Linked DNA regions of Bombyx mori. The protein of the gene in region 1 binds, or shares a complex with, the protein of each later gene. Links are inferred from orthologs where the notes say so. Each region holds a gene or a part of one and is shown on either strand. Other genes may lie near its edges. The genes, in order: dystrobrevin beta and beta-1-syntrophin.

Region 1 (9,931 bases):
TATTCGAAGCCTGATTTTAATTTTATTTCAGAGGGCGGCAACACATATGAGTGTTTACAAGATTTGGCGCGAGTATTCAAACTATGTATGGAGAACGAGCCGCATTGGAATGAACACATAAGCGAAGAAAAATCGTCTGAAGAAGAAAGATCTCTAGATCACCCGTTCAAGCTGTTTCCGATTACACCGAATGACCACGACGCGCAATGGACGCAATCCAGTTTGTATACATTAGATTTTGGTTACAATATTTATATTTATGAACACTATCCTGATACTGAAGTTAGTTCACATCGCCCTAAGCACGTCCGGTAACCATTTAACACTAGGCGGGCCGTGAGCTCGTCCAGCCATATAAGCAATAAAAAAAGTGCAGTTACATAAGTAATTATGTTATAAGAGCTATTAGGTATCACAATGCGAGTCGATAGTGGTGATGCTGACAATTCTAGGTGTTCTATTTGAAAGCATAAAATATAATAAATAATAATAAATAAATATTTACTAACAATCACGCCACGTTAACTGGTCCCGTGCTAAGTTCGTAAAGAACTTGTGTTACAGGTACCAGATAACGGAAATAAATGTAAGATTTTCTATTATACAAATACATATATTTAATATACATCCATAACCCTGGAAAAGATATTTATATTTATCATACAAATATCTTCCCTTGGCGGGATTCGAACTCGCGACCCCCTTGTCTAGTGACCATTTCAATTACCACAGCACCAGACGGCCGTTATATAATATATTCCAAACGTAGTATAATTAAATGTCTAATATTAAAAAATTCTGCTCTTTTTACAGAATTCCACAAACCCGGACACGCTAAGAAGAAATATTGTAATAAACATTCCGAATAATAATTTATACAAAATTAACAGGAAAAAATATTTTTCTCTTTCTTTTTTCTTAATAATTGTATACTTTCATTTTGTACTTTCATTTATGTTGAATAATTTTTTTTTGATTTGATTTGAATAAATTATACGACTAAATTAAATGTGGTAATATTTTATTTATTATAAGCTATTTGACTCGGCAGACTTCGTAGTGCCTCAATCGATAAATAAAAGACCCAAACTTTTGTATAAAATAAACTTAAAACAAACCAAAGGAATCCATCCGACGGGGGATACACATCAAAAGGAAAACAAAATTATTATTTTTATATAATTCCGAGCATTTTCATATTTACCTAAACCTTTTAAACCTTCTGTGGACTTCCACAAATAATTCAAGACCAAAATTAGCCAAATCGGTCCAGTCGTTCTCGAGTTTTAGCGAGACTAACGAACAGCAATTCATTTTTATATATATAGATAAGACATGTTTTTATAGTTACTTATAACGGACTTATGACGCACAGATAATTCACTATTGATTAAGATCACTTATGTTCACACTTGTTACATTTTTAGGTCTATATGCCACTATGTAAGAATTCCTATTATAAAAAACCACACCCTGTACTCTGTACGTAACCCACTATACAGCGTGATATTTTAATAATACATTTGAAAACCAATATCTATTAAACCAATATTTACCTTCAGCATCCTCATGAGTCCCTCGAGCTGCTGCATTAGGTGTTTCCTGGAGTCCTGAAGCGAGGAGAGATGTCCTTCGAGTTCGTCCTTCCGTTGTCTGAGGGCTCTCAGCTCCGACACCAGCGGCGGGGCCGACGTCGAACCAGCACCGGCTTCGGCTTCCTGTTGGCGTCTGTAGCAACACATTATATCAACTCATCATCATCAGCCTGTATCTCTGCACTGCTTGATGTAGACCTCTCCCATGGTCCACCACAATTAACGATCCTCCGCCTTCCGCATCCAATCTTTCCCAGCATATCGCCGCAAGTCATCGGTCCAATGGGCAAGGGGACGCCCAACGCTGCGTTTACCGGTACGTGGTCTCCAGTCCAGAACACGTCTGCCCATTGCCATTTGTGACTACTGACATAACCCTCCCGATGGACAAAGCAAAAATTATATCAACTCACTAAACGAAAATTAATTGTACTAGACATCGAATTCAATCAGACGAACGATGTTTGAATCTATAGTCTGAATTCAGTACATCAACTATGTAGAGTTTCGGGAGGTCCCACCTGAGTCTCGCTATTTCCCTCATAATTTCTCGATTCTTAGCCTCCAGCTGTGAGATGAGCTCGCGCTGTTGTCGAGCCGCGTCCACTTCCGAACCTTCGGACGACGAACGACCCTAGAACGTACATAATTTAATTAGTAAAACGGTCATAAAAAACGGTGCGCGCCCAACTTGATTTTTTTTTATTGCTTAGATGGGTGGACGAGCTCACAGCCCACCTGGTGTTAAGTGGTTACTGGAGCCCATAGACGTCCACAATGTAAATGCGCCACCCACCTTGAGATATAAGTTCCAAGGTCTCAGTATAGTTACAATGGCTGCCCCACCCTTCAAACCGAAACGCATTACTGCTTCACGACAGAAATAGGCAGGGCGGTGGTACCCACCCACGCGGACTCACAAGAGGTCCTACCACCAATTTTTGATGCACCTGAATGAAGTGAAACTTCTTTTTCGATGTGAAGTATTGTGGTTTTCTTCATTTTTCATCCTAACATGAGATTGCTCTTGTAATAGGGAATGCTGTGTATAAGCGATGCGACAACTTCAACATTTATTTTATATATATTTTAAATTATAGCTAGAAAAATAAATATATATATATATTTTAAATACTTCATTAGACTATTGGACGCAACTCGTTGCTAACGCTCGCGCTGGCCTGTAACAGGTATACTACGCGCGTGCGCTCGAGTGCCGCGCATTCATTCTCGCTCTGTCTCTTTCTATTTCATGGCTGCGTTAAACGTTTAACGCTACCTTGTTGGAAGTCGCATTAGAAGTTTCACTTCAAAAATATTGAATTATCACTATATTTTGTACAAAACGTCTACGTACCAACTCAGGGGTCAAGGAGGCTGATCTTCCAGCACGAGGCTATGAAATGAAAAACATATAATTGTGAGTAGAGATACGGATTTTAGTACATTTTAAATATAATATCGACGCTTGAAAGCCAAACGTGACTAAGCGACAATAACTGATTTGTACATAAATGATAGGCAATAACCATATTCAATGTGCAAAAAATATATATTTCTAGGTCTATTAAAATCATTTCAATCCTACAGCTAGATTCGTTAAAAATTTTTTTTTTCATGTATTTCTCATGTAAAGTTTACGCATTGTCGCTTAGTCACTTTTGCCTTTCAAGCGTCGATGTGTTCTAATTCACACGTCCTACCATAGTCCGGTTTTCCTGGGCCAGTCTAGCCGCGTACCGCGCTATGAGGCGGTGCTCGTCGTCCACTCCACGCGATAGATGCTCTGCTATACCTGCAGCATAAATGTATTATTTAATTCTCAATTCTAATAAATGGCTTATTATAGAGTTCCATGTCATAAATGCTGCCAAATTGATTTAAATTATTCTTGGAAATAAAAATACTAATTTCTTTGAGTGAGTTCGAGGTAGTTACAAAGTAATGTCTTAAGAATACGGGTGTGAGTAGCCAAGAAGGATAAACGGCGACTTCCGTGGTATGATTTGTATTTGCTTCAATAACCACTTAACACCAGGTAGACCGTGAATTCGTTCACCCGTCTATACAATAAATGAAGCCAATACCAATGGAAATATGAACGAGATGAGAAATAGACTAGTATTACTAATAATAAAATATTTGGTATTTTTTTTAATTTTATTTTTTTATTGCTTAGATGGGTGGACGAGCTCATAGCCCACCTGATGTTAAGTGGTTACTGGAGCCCATAGACATATACAACGTAAATGCGCCACCCACCTTGAAATATAAGTTCTAAGGTCTCAAGTATAGTTACAACGACTGCCCCACCCTTCGAACCGAAACGCATTACTGCTTCACGGCAGAAATAGGCAGGGCGGACTCACAATAGGTCCTACCACCAGTAAAAAAATTTTTTTTTTTTTTTCAAAATGTAAAAGCTACATAGCCTATGTAATGTATAAAATGAATCTAAGTCTTGAGGTATCAGTCATTACGGTCGAATTTCGTTCGTCGAACGAACACTAGTACAGATAAATATAGATACGTACTGCGATGTGTGGATCGGGACGAACGCGAATCCAAAGAGCCCGTGTTGACGTAGCCACCCACGTACTCCGGGAAGCCGTTGTGGGCCGGCACTGGGGACGGAGGCCTGATAACACACTTCTCATATAATATATTGCAAATACTTTTTTTTAAAGGGTTTTTATGACCTGGTAACTAAGACCTTTAGGTAAAGTCTTATTTTAATATATACTCATAATTTTTATGAAAAATGATAATATGGAGTGAAATGATATTAAATGAAATGAAATGAGATGATATGGGATGAAATATAATCTCAGTAAAATGGTGGTCATTTACTGAGATTTTTTTCAGTGCACTTTTCGGACGATCCCGAGAAGTTACGTCCAGCGGCTTTCATTTTCCCACATTTGTGCACTTTCACAGATATAATATAATAATATATATAAAAAATAGTTTGATGCACTAACACAATATGGCTGAGGTTGAGCGTCCTCTCCGGTTGGTCGGGGTACCGCGGCAGCTGGGCTCGGGCCCGTTCGGGAACGCAGCGGAACGACTTCCGTAACGTAGCGCCGATCTGCTTCGACGGCGATTTCTGGAACAATTCATTCAACAATTCACATAACTTCGCTCTCCGCGTCGCCGTCAAGCAGTCCGGCGGTACTTACGTATGAGGCGTACTCCTTGACCTCGTGGTCGTCGGCGTGCGGCGGCGCCGGGCGGCCCCGCCAGAAGCAGTCCTGGCAGAGCGTGCAGCTGGCGCAGCGCGTGCAGCGGTACCGGAAGCCGGTGAGCGAGCCGCGCCGGCACGCGCTGCACGACATCGGGTGCACCACTGGGGAATGCAAAAACGAACTTTGTTATTTCCATCTGAACATTGATACACCACTTAACACAAGATGGGCTGTGAGCTCGTCCACCCATCTAAGTAATAAAAAAAAAGCAATTCCAAGTCATAACACTCGAGGTTTATTCCAGATTATTCTTATTCTGAAGGAAAAAATTCTTAAGGTAACATTAACTTAATCTAGAGATATTTTCTCAAATATTTCTTATCGTAATGTGCATTCATCTAACATTTACAAATTCAAAGAAGGTAAATGTACATTGAATTCACAATGACCATGTCGTTTTGGTAAATGTGAGCATGGCACCTCACCTAACCTACGACATATTATATAATATGCAAAGAAATGTATGTTTTGTTTGTCATTTACATTTTTTAATTAAAATAATTTTCGTTATTAAAGCCTTTTGTATTATGTTTATTTAAATATATTTTTACTGCTACAACAAATTTATTTGTATTTACTGTAACTTTTCTTAAAACACGAAGGTAAGAGTATACATTTACCAAAACGTGAAGGCAAGAGTACACATTTACTGGGAAACATACACATATGGGTACATATACATTATATTCAGTTCACATATACCTAACATTTTTGGCAAATGTGCACATTTACCGGTAAAAGTGTACATTTCCCAAGAGTGTACATTTACCGTAACATATACATTCAATTTTATCTACACTCCCAATAAGTCTGTCTTACTCCTCAATATGTTTAAAATTCGTGGCATTAAAAAAGCGACTCTAAATCGAGTTTTTTAAGGTTTAGCATATAAGAAAATGAAATAGAATACTTTTGATATAATCTTATTTATATTTATAACGAGTGTTAACTGTTTTGGTTTCAGATAACATTCATTACAAAACAAGAATATTTTATGAGCTTGAATTTGAATGGTAGTATAAGAGTTATTCCAATATATATCACACCCGCATCTATGTCTAGGTTGGAGACTGCATTCTATGTGATGTGAACCCGATAATCACTTAACACCAGATAGGCTGTGAACTCATACAACTCTACACAATAAAAGATAATGCATTTAGGCTTCATTTTGATGATAGCAAAAATTGTTTCAGTACTTATTTCTAGTTATAAGTTACTTACCATTTTCAACACTGGCAAGGCGATGCAATAATGGTAGCCAGACCAGGCATGGAGGACCAGGATCAGACATTAATGTGTCTAGGAAGTCATTCACTGTTATCTTTCCATTCTGAAAAAATATATAACATAGTATTAGTCAAATTCAAGTTCTAGAATAATTGAAATGAATTTTTTTTTCTACCAACACACAACCACAGTAGAAGTACTATAATATTTAAAAAAAATGCTATATATATTAGTTCAAGTTTAACAAAAAAAGGATCCAATTTTTTTACATACCTGATTAAAAATAGTTAGTGCCAATGTATCATTATAACTAAACGATGGTGACTCATACACAGCTGCAGGCAAGGCCAGTACTTCACGTAGATAGTCAGACAGTCTCTTCATCAATAAATGACCATTACCATCTGATAATTGCGAAAATATATCTGTGGAAAATATAAACTCAACTAACTAAAAGATTTAAGAAAGCAGATATCTATTTAATATCTACTTTATTAAAATGGTGTACTTTATTTTGTTTATGTTTTGTTAATAATTCTGTAATATTTTAACTTTATGATATACTTGATACATATATAAGACATAACCAAACAAGGTAGATAAATTACTCTTTATTGAAACACTATAAATATAATAGAGCATTGAAATAACAAATACCATCCCCGTCTGGATTGGCATTATTTATTACACAAATTTAAAAGTTTTCAATGAAGAAAACATTATACAATGTGTATATGTGTATGCATTTACAAAATATGTTTTGTATGGTATATATTTCTGCTTCCATACATCTAAATTTACATAATAATGTTTCAGCCCAAAATTTCAAATAATCTAAAAATTACCAACATAGGTTTAGGAATGTATTTATTACCTGTTGCTTAAATATGTTAAATGAGGGCTACAGTCTAACACTAAAATCACTTACACGAACAAGTATTAGATTAAAAAACATCACATACCACCAGTAATTCCCATAGATAATTTTATAATACATTATTGGTTAATTTATCTGCGGTCGTTTATTTATTACTTAATTTTTCTAATAAATACTCACATCGTAGTTTATCCATTAGTTTACCGGCGCACATTGTAGCTAATGCCACTTTAATTGAGAATACTCTGATTTTTCCCACATTCTCACTGAAATAATAATTTTAAATAATTGATTATACAAAAAAATTGCAAGACATAATGTTTGTGACATAATCAGAGTAAAGACAAAGATATGACTAGTATTTAAGTTGAAAATGTAAATGTAAGCATAAAATGATGCTTTGTTTTGTTCCTCTGAAATGTATGTAACATAAAAATTTATGAGTCATCAAACTATAGGTCACAGATTTTCTTTTTTGGGTGTTTAATTTAAGATAGTCTATCAAATACTATTTTTGTTGTCCTTGTAGGCAAACCAGCATACGGCCCACCTGATGGTGAGTAGTTACCGTCGCCCATGGACTTCAGCAATGCCAGGGGCAGAGCCAAGCCGCTGCCTACCGCCTATCTCTTCAATTCTAATATTCTTCTATAAACTTCTATCAGGAATATATGTAGATATAAAAATAAATCACTCACCCAGTACTGTATGCTGACAATAGCCAGTTTAAGAGTAACGCTGAGCATGCTTCTACTGAAACTTGGTGTGCAGGCGGTAAGCGTTTATTCAGATTATGATATAGAGATGACACTAAAGTTTCTAATCTTGTGACGTTTACACAGGCCGTTGGCTCTAATGTGTTGAGTGCGTTCTCACGAAATGCTTCTATCACATTCCATATGTCTATGACATGTACTGAAATACAAATATCCTTAATTGAACTTGCAAATTGACATCAATAAGTTATAACCATATTAAGTAAGGGAATGGACTCTATGTGAAGGGACAATTGGGTAGACACAGGTGGAAGAAGAAAATTAAAACCTTAACCATATACCATAAACCATTACGTTCTTCACCATCACTCAAAGTTCAAGGAAAGGGGAAGATAAATGACAAAACAACTACAAATTCAAAACTAAGATTGTAGTAAATAGTTTAGCTTGCTTATTCATAAACAAATTCAGCAGTAGATGTTAAAAATATATCTTCCAGCATTACATTGTTTACTCTGATACTAGTTTCTATCTGGCACTTAAATTTACATTAAAAGTAGAACAACTTTGAGACTGCTTTATAGGAATTAGGTAGAACTTTTAATCATATTACATTAATTAACTCTGTATTGCCGCAGTATTTATGCAATTAAGGACAATAAGACTTCAGTTTACTGAAAGTAAATGTTGCCATATGTATTTGTCACTAATATATTTCTTTGGCCAATCAATATATTAATCATCATCATCATTCTTTCGTATTACCCTCTGCTGGGGAATAGGGCTCAAAAAAATTTTCCATTTACATCAGTCTTAGGCAGTCTGTTCTAGCTCCTCCCACGTCATGCCCAAGACCCCTAGCTCCTACTCCACCAAGCGACGCCAAGTTATTATATATTATGTAAATCAATTTACAACACTAAAGGGTCTAATAACCACTATCGCAAAAAGAGACCCTTATATACATTCATGTTGAAAAGTTCATATTATTGAAAATAAGTTATTAAATAAATAGATTGTTATTGTTCTAACTATACATTACTCACAGTTGCACTTCTTTTGTACAAAGCGCAGTTTACAAGCTGTTCTGTATGATGCAAATCTGATTAGATCAAAGTTTTGTTCTCGCATTTCTTGTAGAAGTTGTGAGCGAGGATCTGCGGCTGCAACAACATTGGTGACTGGAGGTATACCTCCTATACTTTCACGATCCAAAGACATCTTGATAGGAGTTTTAATACTGCTAATACCTGAAATATAAACTCGTTATTTATTACAATATGTTAGCGCAGGTAACCGACCATATATAAATAATAAAATGTGGTGTTAAAATTGTATGATTCATTGGATTAAAATTAATAAGCTGTTTATTATCCCAAATGACAATATTATAAACTATTTTTCAATAGCGTCTTACTATTAATTCTTTGTATAAGATTTCCAGAAACTGTACCACTTACAAGTTAAATTATTTGCGCACTTATTCATGTGTATTTCGAAATTACAATTTTGTAATAAATTAACGAAAATTGAGAAATCTTACCTTTGCTTATCGGTTAGCTCATAATTTTGTTGACATAACGATAATATATTCACAACGAACCGCTGGTTTGTTTCATAGATCGATTCAAAGATAATATTAGTAACTTGGCTTTTTCTTGCAATATTCTTTGGGAGTAAATCACTTACTTATGTTAGTCGTAGTAAAATTTGTGTGTTCAGTATAAAGATATCATGCACTATTCTTAATCCTACTTAGAATAATTATTAATGCTTTACAATTTAATAATTCATAAGAGCTAATAAATTAAGGAATTATGTATCGAAATCAACGAAATGACAAGCTCCTGCCATCATAGTTACGTTTCATTTTACGTATTTCAAAAATCTAAGAAAAATTTACTTTCGTTTTTTTAAATTTCATCCCAGTTGACCGAGGTCTTTAATTATTCAGCTTCATCTCATTTAGCTCCATACCATTTTTCCTATTACAACAGAATGTAAGAATCAAATAAAAGACTTGGCTTAAAGGTCCCATTACCAGGCCATACAACCAAAAAAATATTTTAAATGAAACGAAACAACAAACGGTTTTTTGGCGGGAACACGAGCTATGAATTAATGTGAACTGTTTTAATATTTTGGTTAATTTTGTGACTAAGCGTGGAATATATTACTTTATTAATCGTTTAACGTTTAAAGTGTGGGCAAAAAGAAACAAAATAACTGGATGCGGCTTTTCGGGCTCATTCAAACAACCCACTG
Region 2 (9,931 bases), on another chromosome or scaffold:
ATATACATACAGATTAAACTCTGGGAATGTTTCGGATACCACTAAATACATAAATACATTTAAAAATTCAAATTCAATCAATAAACATATAAAATTATCATTAAAAACAATTTCTTTGGAAGATTATGACCAGTAAGTTATATTTTTCATTTGGAAACATATTTAGAATCATATGTTTTTTTTTTCTTGTAAAATCATATGATAATTATTGTCCCGTTTTCGATTTTGGTGTTCAATTCTTTTTCGAATTAAAAATTATTCGAGAACGTTCTTCTCGGCACTGCTCAACAAGAAATCGATATGATATCTAATTGCAATGATCATTCGTTTTAATTGTCGTCACGGAAGCGATCATCACTTTGAGCATCATATAGGAAAACGATATTATATCGAATTACAACAATCATTCGTTTCAATAATCGTCATGGAGGCGATCATCGCTTTGAGCATCTTAAAAGATACCATGAGATTCGACCACACAATTACTACAATTAGTACTTCACTGTTTTATTATCAATCATTTATAGATTTGAATATACAGCAACCTATAGGTAACTCATACTTACTAACGGAGGTTATCTCATACTTACTACCGGAGCTGTTTTCAAAGATCTCAACCTTTAACCAAACACGAAAACAAGCACTGGTTTAATTATTATGTTGCGTTTTGGTTGTGGTGTTCATGTACTTGAATGATAAATGTTATTTACATACGTTTGTATATCAGTACTACCACACATTAAAAAATTACTTTCACCGGTTACGAATAATTTAAAATTTTAATATCTCTTCAAAATTCTGGAAATAGCGTCAATTTAATCCAGCAGTCGGGGAACCGGGGTAAATTACCCCAAATGGGGTAAAATGAAATTTTGGGGGTAAAAATGAAACTTTTGTGAGTAAAAAATATATATTGAAGTGAAACTTCTTTAGAAACGTTAAATTTTTTGTTATTGTTTTCTTTTAAAAATTATCATGGGGGCTTATAATATGAAAGATGCTAAATGGAAGCGATTTCGTTTTTGTTTTGTTCTTCGCCATGAGGTGATATCAACTTACACAAAAAATATTTTGGTGTAATAATTAAAAAAGTTCCCCGACCGCTGATTTAATCTAACACTCATATTCTAAGACGTTACCGACCTACACTGGGTGTTAGGAGACCGCTTCCGAAAACGAAGACAGACGATAGTAAACAAAGTAATTCTTGGGGAGCGCGGTATCAGCTTCGCGCCGGTGTGCGTGTAAAAGAAACGCAACGCCTGGGCGTTCGTTGATCCGAGCATCAGCTGTTATTTATTTTGTGTTTCATTGCTGGTTTTTTTTAGTAAAGTAATGTATTTTCTATAAAACTATCGTTTCATTTATCTGTACTAACATAAAGGAGCGTAAATAATGCTAATAATACGCTATAAAAATGTTTTTTTTTTTTAATCAGTATCGATTTTTTTCCGTCCCATCATCAAAGGTGTCATTAATACTATCGTCTATCTTCATTTTCGGAAGTGATCTTTTTAACACGCAGTATATAAGCTTTCGCTGCCTCGACTCAAAGAACACGTTGTTGGTGATATTATCCAGGAATTCCCGAGATCGATATTCTATGTATTTGTAGCTAGATTTTAACTCAACAATCCTCTAGACTGATTTTTTTTTAATTGTGATATTGATTTTTAAACGTGGTTTCTCCGGGAATCCCTTAGGGGATTTCCAAACATACTTTAACTTCGACAGTCAGTTCCTAATCTCGTGTGACTAAAACCAGGGATGTCAGATGGAGATTCTTTATAAGCATGATGAATTGCTCAAATTCGGTTGAGCGGAATCGATGTAACGTCTTAGAACACGCCCCCCCTGGAATTTTGCATTTTCTTGGCATTCAGACTTGTAATCACGAATGTATATGTAGGTAATCATGGCCAGAAAATGTGCCTTTGCGTTAGTCTCTGTCAATCGCTTACAAGTGTCAAGTGTCAAGTGGCTACTTTGTCAAGTGTCAACGGTGCCAAATCGCAACTCTTTGCTTTAGCTTTAATTAAATGTTTTTTTAAATAGATAACGCGATCGAATCTCGAAACCATCCTGAATACAATTTTTCATGAATGATATAAAATAGATACATGTATATGCCGAAAAGTTTACTATTACAGATTAGCCATACAAATATACAGTCAAAACTATGCAAAAAACCAATCTGTTTTATTGTATATACTATACTAGTGAAGTGAGTGAATTGAGAATTCGCTTCAGATATGCAGAAATTTCGTTTGATAAATTGTGCACAATCACAGATACGTTTATTTTGATAAAAGAGATTCAATTTCAACGGAATACATTATATAATTTTATTGAGTATTTATTTAGAAGATTCGCAGATTTTTATACTCTTTTTAACTTCGGCTTAATGTAGCCTAGGTGGCATTATGTATTCCTCAATTTAATTCATAATACGAGTATATAATTATTCGATTTTGTTTTATCTTCGTCGGTTAATATTAAATGAAAACTGACGTTAAATGTTAAATTAAGCTTTCAATTGTTCCTTATTTAAATATAGGATTTTTTATTATTAGGCCAAAAGTGTTAAGAGTACACAAGGACATTATAGGAATAGTATTAATTCCCTTGGATCTGCTACTACTTATTACATATTTCACAGAGCCGGCTTTTACAGGTTCTGAAACCACGACCGAGCGTATTTGTCGATTATTGTACCGATATTTAAAATAGACCGGCATTTAGCAGAAAAGGCTCAAACCGCCACACTCAAATAGCACACATTACAATTATTTTAAATTTACTTCTATAAGCCGCGCCAATAAAGAAACGAATCTAAAATGGCAGCGGCGATCATGCGCTCTCAGTCTAAACTATTGCTGTCTTTAGTCGCACACGGCGCGTACTGCATGCAAAAAAAAATATTAGTTTCGACTTTGTTGTTGAGTTCGAGTTTTTTCACTTTCGAGTTGTGCTACTTAGCTGACTGGCAGCAAAAGTGTCTACGCAAGTTGCATCCTATATGAGACACCTCCCCCTCTGCCAGGGCACCAAAGTAAAGTAAAGTACTTTCTCATTTGTTTTTATTTTTATTTTTTTACAATAAACAACTTTTTCTTTCTATCTTTCTTTTTATTTGTTTACCCTACTATTTGTCAGTGCAGGTACATAGACGCCATTTTAGATTCGTTTCTTTATTGGCGCGGCAGAATGATATATTTTTGTTTTAGTCGCATGGGTTGCCAGTGTAAAAAAAAACCTTCGTTCATTGATAATTGTTGCAAAACTACTATGTTCCAAAGAGTTCGTTTGGTATAATCCTTGACTGAATCCTTTCTACTAAACTACGACCTAGTTATTTTACAAACCAACCCTACAAATCGAGTCGAGTGCGATCCAATTTGAATTTCGAACTGAGTACGATCCAATGCGTTGATCATACAAATCAAAACAAGTACAACCCTGATCATATCGATGAGAGCAGCTTCGACGAGCAGTTGTTATCGTTCGATGATGATTTGATGCCTTCTTTAAATTGTTCGGGTTATAGCGGGTTCGGTGTCGGATCTCCCGGCAGCGAGTGGACGCGAGCCGACAGCAAATTGTGCAGAATGAACACAGCCGGCTTCGGGCTACCGTCCATTTCTAGCTCCTGGCAAAATTACACGGAAAACGCATTTTAATGAAAAATATACACAAACGCGCATAAAACCCGGATGTGACAGAAGTGATAGGTTTTAAACGAGAAAATATATAAGTCATCTCTGTCTCGGTTGCATCAGAAACGTTTAGTTTTAGTTTGGCACTTCAGTTTGGTGATGTGTTTGGGTAAACATTTTCACTTTGCATCACCGTTTTCGATCAAACGTAACAAATACACAAATATGCTACGCCACGTGAAATATGCCACTTTCAACGGGTTTCCTTGATCAAATATTTAGATATGTATTCAGAATATACATTAAAATATATAGAAATTTATTCAGAAATATTCAGAGCCTGTCCACCCATCTAAGCAATAAAAAAAAACGGTGCGCTTGCAACTTGGTGCACGTAAATGAAGTGAAGCTTCTTTTTCGATGTGTAGTATTGTGGTTTTCTTCATTTTTCATCCTTAAATCAGATTGCTCTTGTAATAGGTAATGTGGTGTATAGGAGATTCGACATCTTCAACATTTTTAATATATATATTTTAAATTATAGATGCTATAATTTGAAATGCTTCATTAAAATATCGGACGCTACTCGTTGCTAACGCTCGCGATGGTCTGTAACAGGTATACTACGCGCATGCGTACGAGTGCCACGCATTCACTTTCGTTCTGTCTCTTTCTATTCCATGGTAGCGTTATACGTTTAACACAATTTTGTTGAATGTCGCATTAGAAGTTTCACTTCAATAAATCTCATTTATCTCTCTTCGTGCCCAAAAGAAATTTAACTTCAATCTTTAAATAGCACGGTACATGCCTATTCAAGTCTTATTTACAAAGGAGCAGCAATAGGTACTAACCAACGTGTCGTCGTCAGCGAAGTGCAGCCAGAGCTTGTTGTTGTCGTCGTCAGCGGAAGCGCGGAGTGCGTGCAGCGGGCGGCGGTACAGCGCGCGGCCCAGCGAGCCCGCCGCCTCCCACACGCACACGCCCGCCGCCCCCAGCGCCAGCCGCGCCGCCGCCCCGCCCACCGAGCAGCGGAACGTGAACTCGGGCTGCGCTCGCACCGCCGCGTGCGCCCCCTCCACCAGCGCGGACGCGGCGGCCGCCAGGTCGTGCGGCGAGTCCGCGCGCAGGGCTCGCTGCACCAGCCCGTCCACGCACCCGGCCCGCAGCCCCAGCGCCGCCGCCCCGCCCGCCCCAGCTCGCCGCCACCAGGCCAGCCGCGTCGCCGCCAGCCGCAGGCTCTCCGCCGGCGCGCACCATGCCTCCGCCGACCACGGCGCCGCCTCATACAGCCTGTTCAATGACGACCATTATACTCCAAAAAATTCACATAAACCATTATGTTAAATTTAAAAAAAAAAATCTCTCTGTTGTAAGCCCACATCGACACCACTGCAAAATGGCAAAATTTTAAAAGCACTATGTGCGCTATTAAGCTCACCTTAACTCTCTGTCTGTGATTGCAACGAATGTTGGCTGCCAGCCTTCAGTCTCGTCGGAGCTGTCAGACCCTCCTGAAGCGCTCATCTATTTTTAACAGAACATTCACGATTCATACAATTATTCCACTTTTTTAGTTTTATTATTCTCTTTTCAAATCTTCTCTATTATTATAATTCAAAATTAACTGACACCTTTTTCACACCTCGCTCGTTCAATCGTCCTCGCCATCTTGCTTTTGTCTTTCATTCTTTTGTCCCTTTCTTACCGTTTTTTCTCATACCTTAACACTCCATTCCACACGCTTTACATGCGTTCCGTCCTTACCCATCCTACATTGATTAATTTTCTTACATGATCTTGCGGTGGGCGCCTTGCCATCCAACCAGCATATCGCACATCGCCTACAAGAGGGCGAAGTCTCGGCCTGGCGCGAGCAAGAGCGGCGCGTGCAGCCCGACGTGCGGCTGCATGTAGCGCGCGATGCCACCCTGACGCTGTGGCCGCTGAACTGGCCCGTAATGCTAATGCGTGGACGCCGTCCGGTGAATATATTTCGATTGTGCGATCCTCTGAAAATTGCATTACATCAAAATATTTTGAAACCTTAAAAATATATACATACTAGCTGTCCCAGTCCACTACGTTAGGCAGTTAAAATTAAAATTAAAATTAAAATTATTATTTCTCAGCTCCACAAAGATTCTTATCATTAACGGCCCCGCAACTAGTGTAGAGAGTCCAACACTCATATAAATATTGGCCTATCCATTAAGTACATGTATTTTCTACATGGATACCAAGTTTCAAGTCAATCGGATGCAGGGTTTAGTAGTTATAACGGAACATCCGTAAAAACCACTGTAGATTTATATATTAGTATAGATATAGATATACTTTTTTAAAGTGAGTGAATGACTCGGTGGTGCAATAGTTAGCGGCCCTGACTGTTGTCAGAGGCAGAGGGTCACGGGTTCGATGCCCACATCGGGCAAGCATTGTCTGACGAACAGGTTTGTTTGTTCTTTCTGTGGGTGTTTGTTATCTGTATATGCATATATTTATAAACATGTATGTTTATCAGTTATCAGGTACCCACCCATAACAGAGGTAATCCTAAATATGGGCCAAGATGACGGCGCGTAATTTGTGGCCAGTTGTTATTATTATTATTAAAAACTGACCTGGGTCATTATGACGGAGATTCTTGGCAACGCATGCCATTAACAGTGGTACATAACGAGTGTCTGCCCGTCGACGGCGTGGAGATGGTGGCGACGGTGGTGTGTCTGCCATATACCCACGTTGTAGCTCCCATCCTACTTCACTTATAATGGATGCCTTACGGAAGTACGGTGTCACTTCACGGAGATATTTCACTGTAAAGGATACACAATTTAATTGGAAAATTGACTATTGTTCTTAAATGAGAAATTTATAATTGCCTAAACTGACAAATAATTATAGATATTTTCAGAAATGATTAAATGGCTAACAAAAAAATGCACATTGCACTACAATCACTTATAACAATGCAATGCAATGCAATATAAATTCGTCGTGGTCTGAAGGTTAAGACGCCCGGTGCATTCATATCGAGTGATGCGACTGTGTCGGTGTTCGGGTGCCGCAGCCAGGTACCAATGAAATACGTACTAAAGAAATGTTCACAATTGACTTTCCTAGACTTCCACGGTTCCCGGAATATCATCCGGAGCCCGCGCGGGTAAGTACCACCGTCCTGCCTATTTCTACCGTGAAGCAGTAATGCGTTTCAGTGTGAAGGGTGGGGACAGATGTGGACTGCAAAAAGTACTCATGTCTCGACATAAGTGGCAGAATTTTTGATGTCCATGAGCTCCATTAACTATTTAACACCAGATGGGCCGTGAGCTCAATGACCTACTTAAACAATAAAATAATCTATTATAATAAGAGTGTCCCAGAGCGATAGATGAGAGTTAGATGTTCTGCAACATTGTTAACTGTTATGTTATTTACAGTTTACTTGAAAGCCGTTTTCAGTTTAATGGTATTATTTAATATATTTCATGAAAAATCACTAAATAGATATGCAGATTATCACTATCAAGAGTTACAAGGAATAGTTAATATCTGAGTTTTTCACTGAAAATACCAAGTTAATAATGGCAATTGAGAAAAAGCAAACTAAATTGTCTTTAATTACATAAAAATGCATAATAATATATTTACTAACTGTTATTCAATGTTAAATGTTAAATGTTAATGCAATGTAATTAAGACGTGTAATATGGATGTAAAATCTGAAGTAAATTAAATAAATAAATAAATACCAATCAGAATGTATAAATATAATCTTGTGGGTATTTGTATATCTTTGTGCAAAAGATTATTTAGAGTAGGACCTACCTGGTATCTCAAATACAGTCTCATATATTTTTTTTCTCTACCTAATTATTTGTAGCCTAAGGGGCTTTTTTTTCGGGCCGGGGGTGGGAACCTCCGACGAGGTCCCCGCGCTTAGGTGGCTCGCGGGGTATGTGGGACTTGACGATGTGCAGGTGTTGGGAGCAGACTGCGGGTCCAAGGAATTTTAGGGCCCTACCGCAGTAAAGGACTCCCCTGCACTCTTACACCCGACAGAGATCGGCTCCGTCCGGGGTCAGAACCCGATCAGAATTGGGGGGTTTTCGCGGTCAACACTACAACCAGGCCCGCGACGCCACTTGGAGGACGCCCGACCAACTGGTCGTCGAGGCGATAGTCGACGACCAACGACGACAGTTTCCGCGGCACGACGGCCCTACCAGGCCGCCCGGGCGATGCCGCTGGTGTTCCGGGATACTCCGCTGGGACAGGACCAACTCGGAACCGGGTTGCTCTTCCACGGTACGTTCGGCGACGACAATGCTGACCACATCGCAGGCCGCAGCCGGCGACGCGTCGTCCCGTCTTCCTGGTGCCAGCGCGCTAAAGTAACGTAGCGTGCGGCGCAGTCTCAACCCCCTTAGGACGCCCCGTGACCATCACCCGGAGGAGACTGCCTCCTCATAGGGGCCGGAGCTGGCCAAACGCCCTTCTCCGACCTCCGGCTCGGCGGTGGCGGCACGGCGGCCAAAGGGAAGAAGAGCTCTCCCTCTCCCGTTCAGCCGCCTCCTTCTGCGTGATGGTGGACAGACTCGCAGAAGTCGATCATCGCCTGCCAGGACTCGTCGCTGCTAAGCATCTTAGCCACGACAGTCGGAAGCGACAAGTCCGGTCCTATTTTTGCAGCGAGGTCGCAGCGCTGCTCTGCGAAAGCGGGGTACTACGTGAGCGTGTGCTCCGCCGTATCCTCATTGCAGCCACTGAAGTGATGACACTTCGGCGTCGGCTCCCTCCGGGCGACGAGGTGCAAGTAGCGGCCGAAACAGCCGTGGCCCATGAGCACCTGCGTCGCCCGGAAGGTGAGAAATTCACCCAGTCCGAGAGGGCCATCAGACTTCCACTTATTCCTTAAGCTCAAAACTTTTTTGGGCGGACAGAAATTTGCAACAAATGATGAAGTCATAGCCGCTGTAGAGGAGTATTTTGCAGGCCTCGAAAGAAATCATTTTATGGAAGGCATTACTGCTTTAGAACGAAGATGGAATAAGTGCATAGAGGTTCACGGAGACTATGTCGAAAAATAAAGTTAATTTTATCACGAAAAGTTAAGTGTTTTATTGTTAGGGTAGTTACTTATCATCCCGCCCTTGTAAGACCAAGAGATCAGATATACATTCACATACAGCTGGTCATAAAAACAAAATTACTAGTATTTGTTAGTTGTTGTTAGTTACTATTACTAGTATTTGATATTCGAAATCACCACATCAATATTTTAAAGCAAAAATATTTTACTGGAAATCTGACGACAAACTGAAGTGTTAACAAACAATTGAGTTTTTTTAACTGACTCATCCTACATCCTTCATCATATTTTCCTTCATTACCACTTATATTCTATTCTATATTAGTACCTTAATATCTTTTTACTTTTCCTCTAATGTAACATTTAAAAACCAATTAAGCATACATACACTACACTAATTAAGCCAATTGACATTATGTGTAATGCAGGGCTATTTTTATTGAGGTCAATGAATGACTAGAGGCATCAATGACGTTGACTATTCTCAATTTGTTCATTTATAACATATTTTAAATTAAGAGACCCAATAAATAATAAATATTTAACCAAAAGATATGATAAGGACTCACCTTCCAGTTGTACCATTTTTCCAGCTCTCTTCAATGCCTTTACAGCTTCTTCGTGTGTCGCATCTTTGAGATCCTCACCGTTTACAGACAATATAGCATCACCAACGTACAACTGTTCAGTCAAGTCGGCTGCCATACCCTTGAATATTTTTGATATCAATATTGGCATGTTATTTTCGATTCCACCTTTTATTGATATACCAAGCCCGTTGTTGTCCGATTTCACAACTTGTACTAAACGTTTTTGGTTTGCAATTGCTTCGGGTACCTCTGCGAAGTCGCTGTTCGGAGTTTCGACGTTGTTGTTGTTCAGAGTGCCATTCAAAGTCGTTGTCGCATCATACCCATCATCGAGACAGACGCTCAGGTAATCGTCTTCTAATGAACAATGAACGCGATACCAAACACCACGGACTAACGTCTCTAGAAGACCAGAACGAACACATGTTGCACTAGGACTATCACTGCCACCACTCGAGGCACCGTTTTCCACCATAATTTACTATAATTGCTTGAAGAGTGTTAACTCTTCAATGGAATGATGACTTAAAAGAATACAGATCACTCAAGAAAAACAGCATGAATATCAGTTTAACAACAACTAACATGAG

The links.
Region 2: dystrobrevin beta (region 1) and beta-1-syntrophin share a complex: the UniProt entries of both Caenorhabditis elegans proteins name them as parts of the dystrophin glycoprotein complex. The link is inferred for Bombyx mori from reciprocal best matches to the Caenorhabditis elegans genes dyb-1 and stn-1.

The regions. Positions count from the first base shown.
Region 1 is NC_085126.1:6,059,426-6,069,356, forward strand, and holds the start of dystrobrevin beta, read right to left. Parts: upstream 9,542-9,931; 5' UTR 9,210-9,541; intron 8,917-9,209; 5' UTR 8,888-8,916; coding exon 8,713-8,887; intron 7,866-8,712; coding exon 7,649-7,865; intron 7,217-7,648; coding exon 7,131-7,216; intron 6,499-7,130; coding exon 6,347-6,498; intron 6,177-6,346; coding exon 6,068-6,176; intron 4,945-6,067; coding exon 4,778-4,944; intron 4,705-4,777; coding exon 4,577-4,704; intron 4,234-4,576; coding exon 4,130-4,233; intron 3,391-4,129; coding exon 3,299-3,390; intron 2,992-3,298; coding exon 2,953-2,991; intron 2,230-2,952; coding exon 2,117-2,229; intron 1,729-2,116; coding exon 1,557-1,728; intron 1,010-1,556; exon of another isoform or gene 870-1,009; coding exon of another isoform or gene 814-869; intron 221-813; coding exon of another isoform or gene 32-220; intron 1-31. Other genes in the region: uncharacterized protein LOC134200749, read left to right, coding at 32-220, 814-869. UniProt on the Caenorhabditis elegans protein: Plays a role in cholinergic transmission and as a functional partner of dystrophin (dys-1), necessary for muscle maintenance. Required for localization of ctn-1 near dense bodies in muscle cells.
Region 2 is NC_085118.1:12,112,011-12,121,941, reverse strand, and holds part of beta-1-syntrophin, read right to left. Parts: 5' UTR 9,817-9,931; coding exon 9,321-9,816; intron 6,476-9,320; coding exon 6,281-6,475; intron 5,669-6,280; coding exon 5,451-5,668; intron 5,184-5,450; coding exon 5,098-5,183; intron 4,950-5,097; coding exon 4,511-4,949; intron 3,650-4,510; coding exon 3,542-3,649; 3' UTR 1-3,541. UniProt on the Caenorhabditis elegans protein: Adapter protein that binds to and probably organizes the subcellular localization of a variety of membrane proteins. May link various receptors to the actin cytoskeleton and the dystrophin glycoprotein complex (DGC).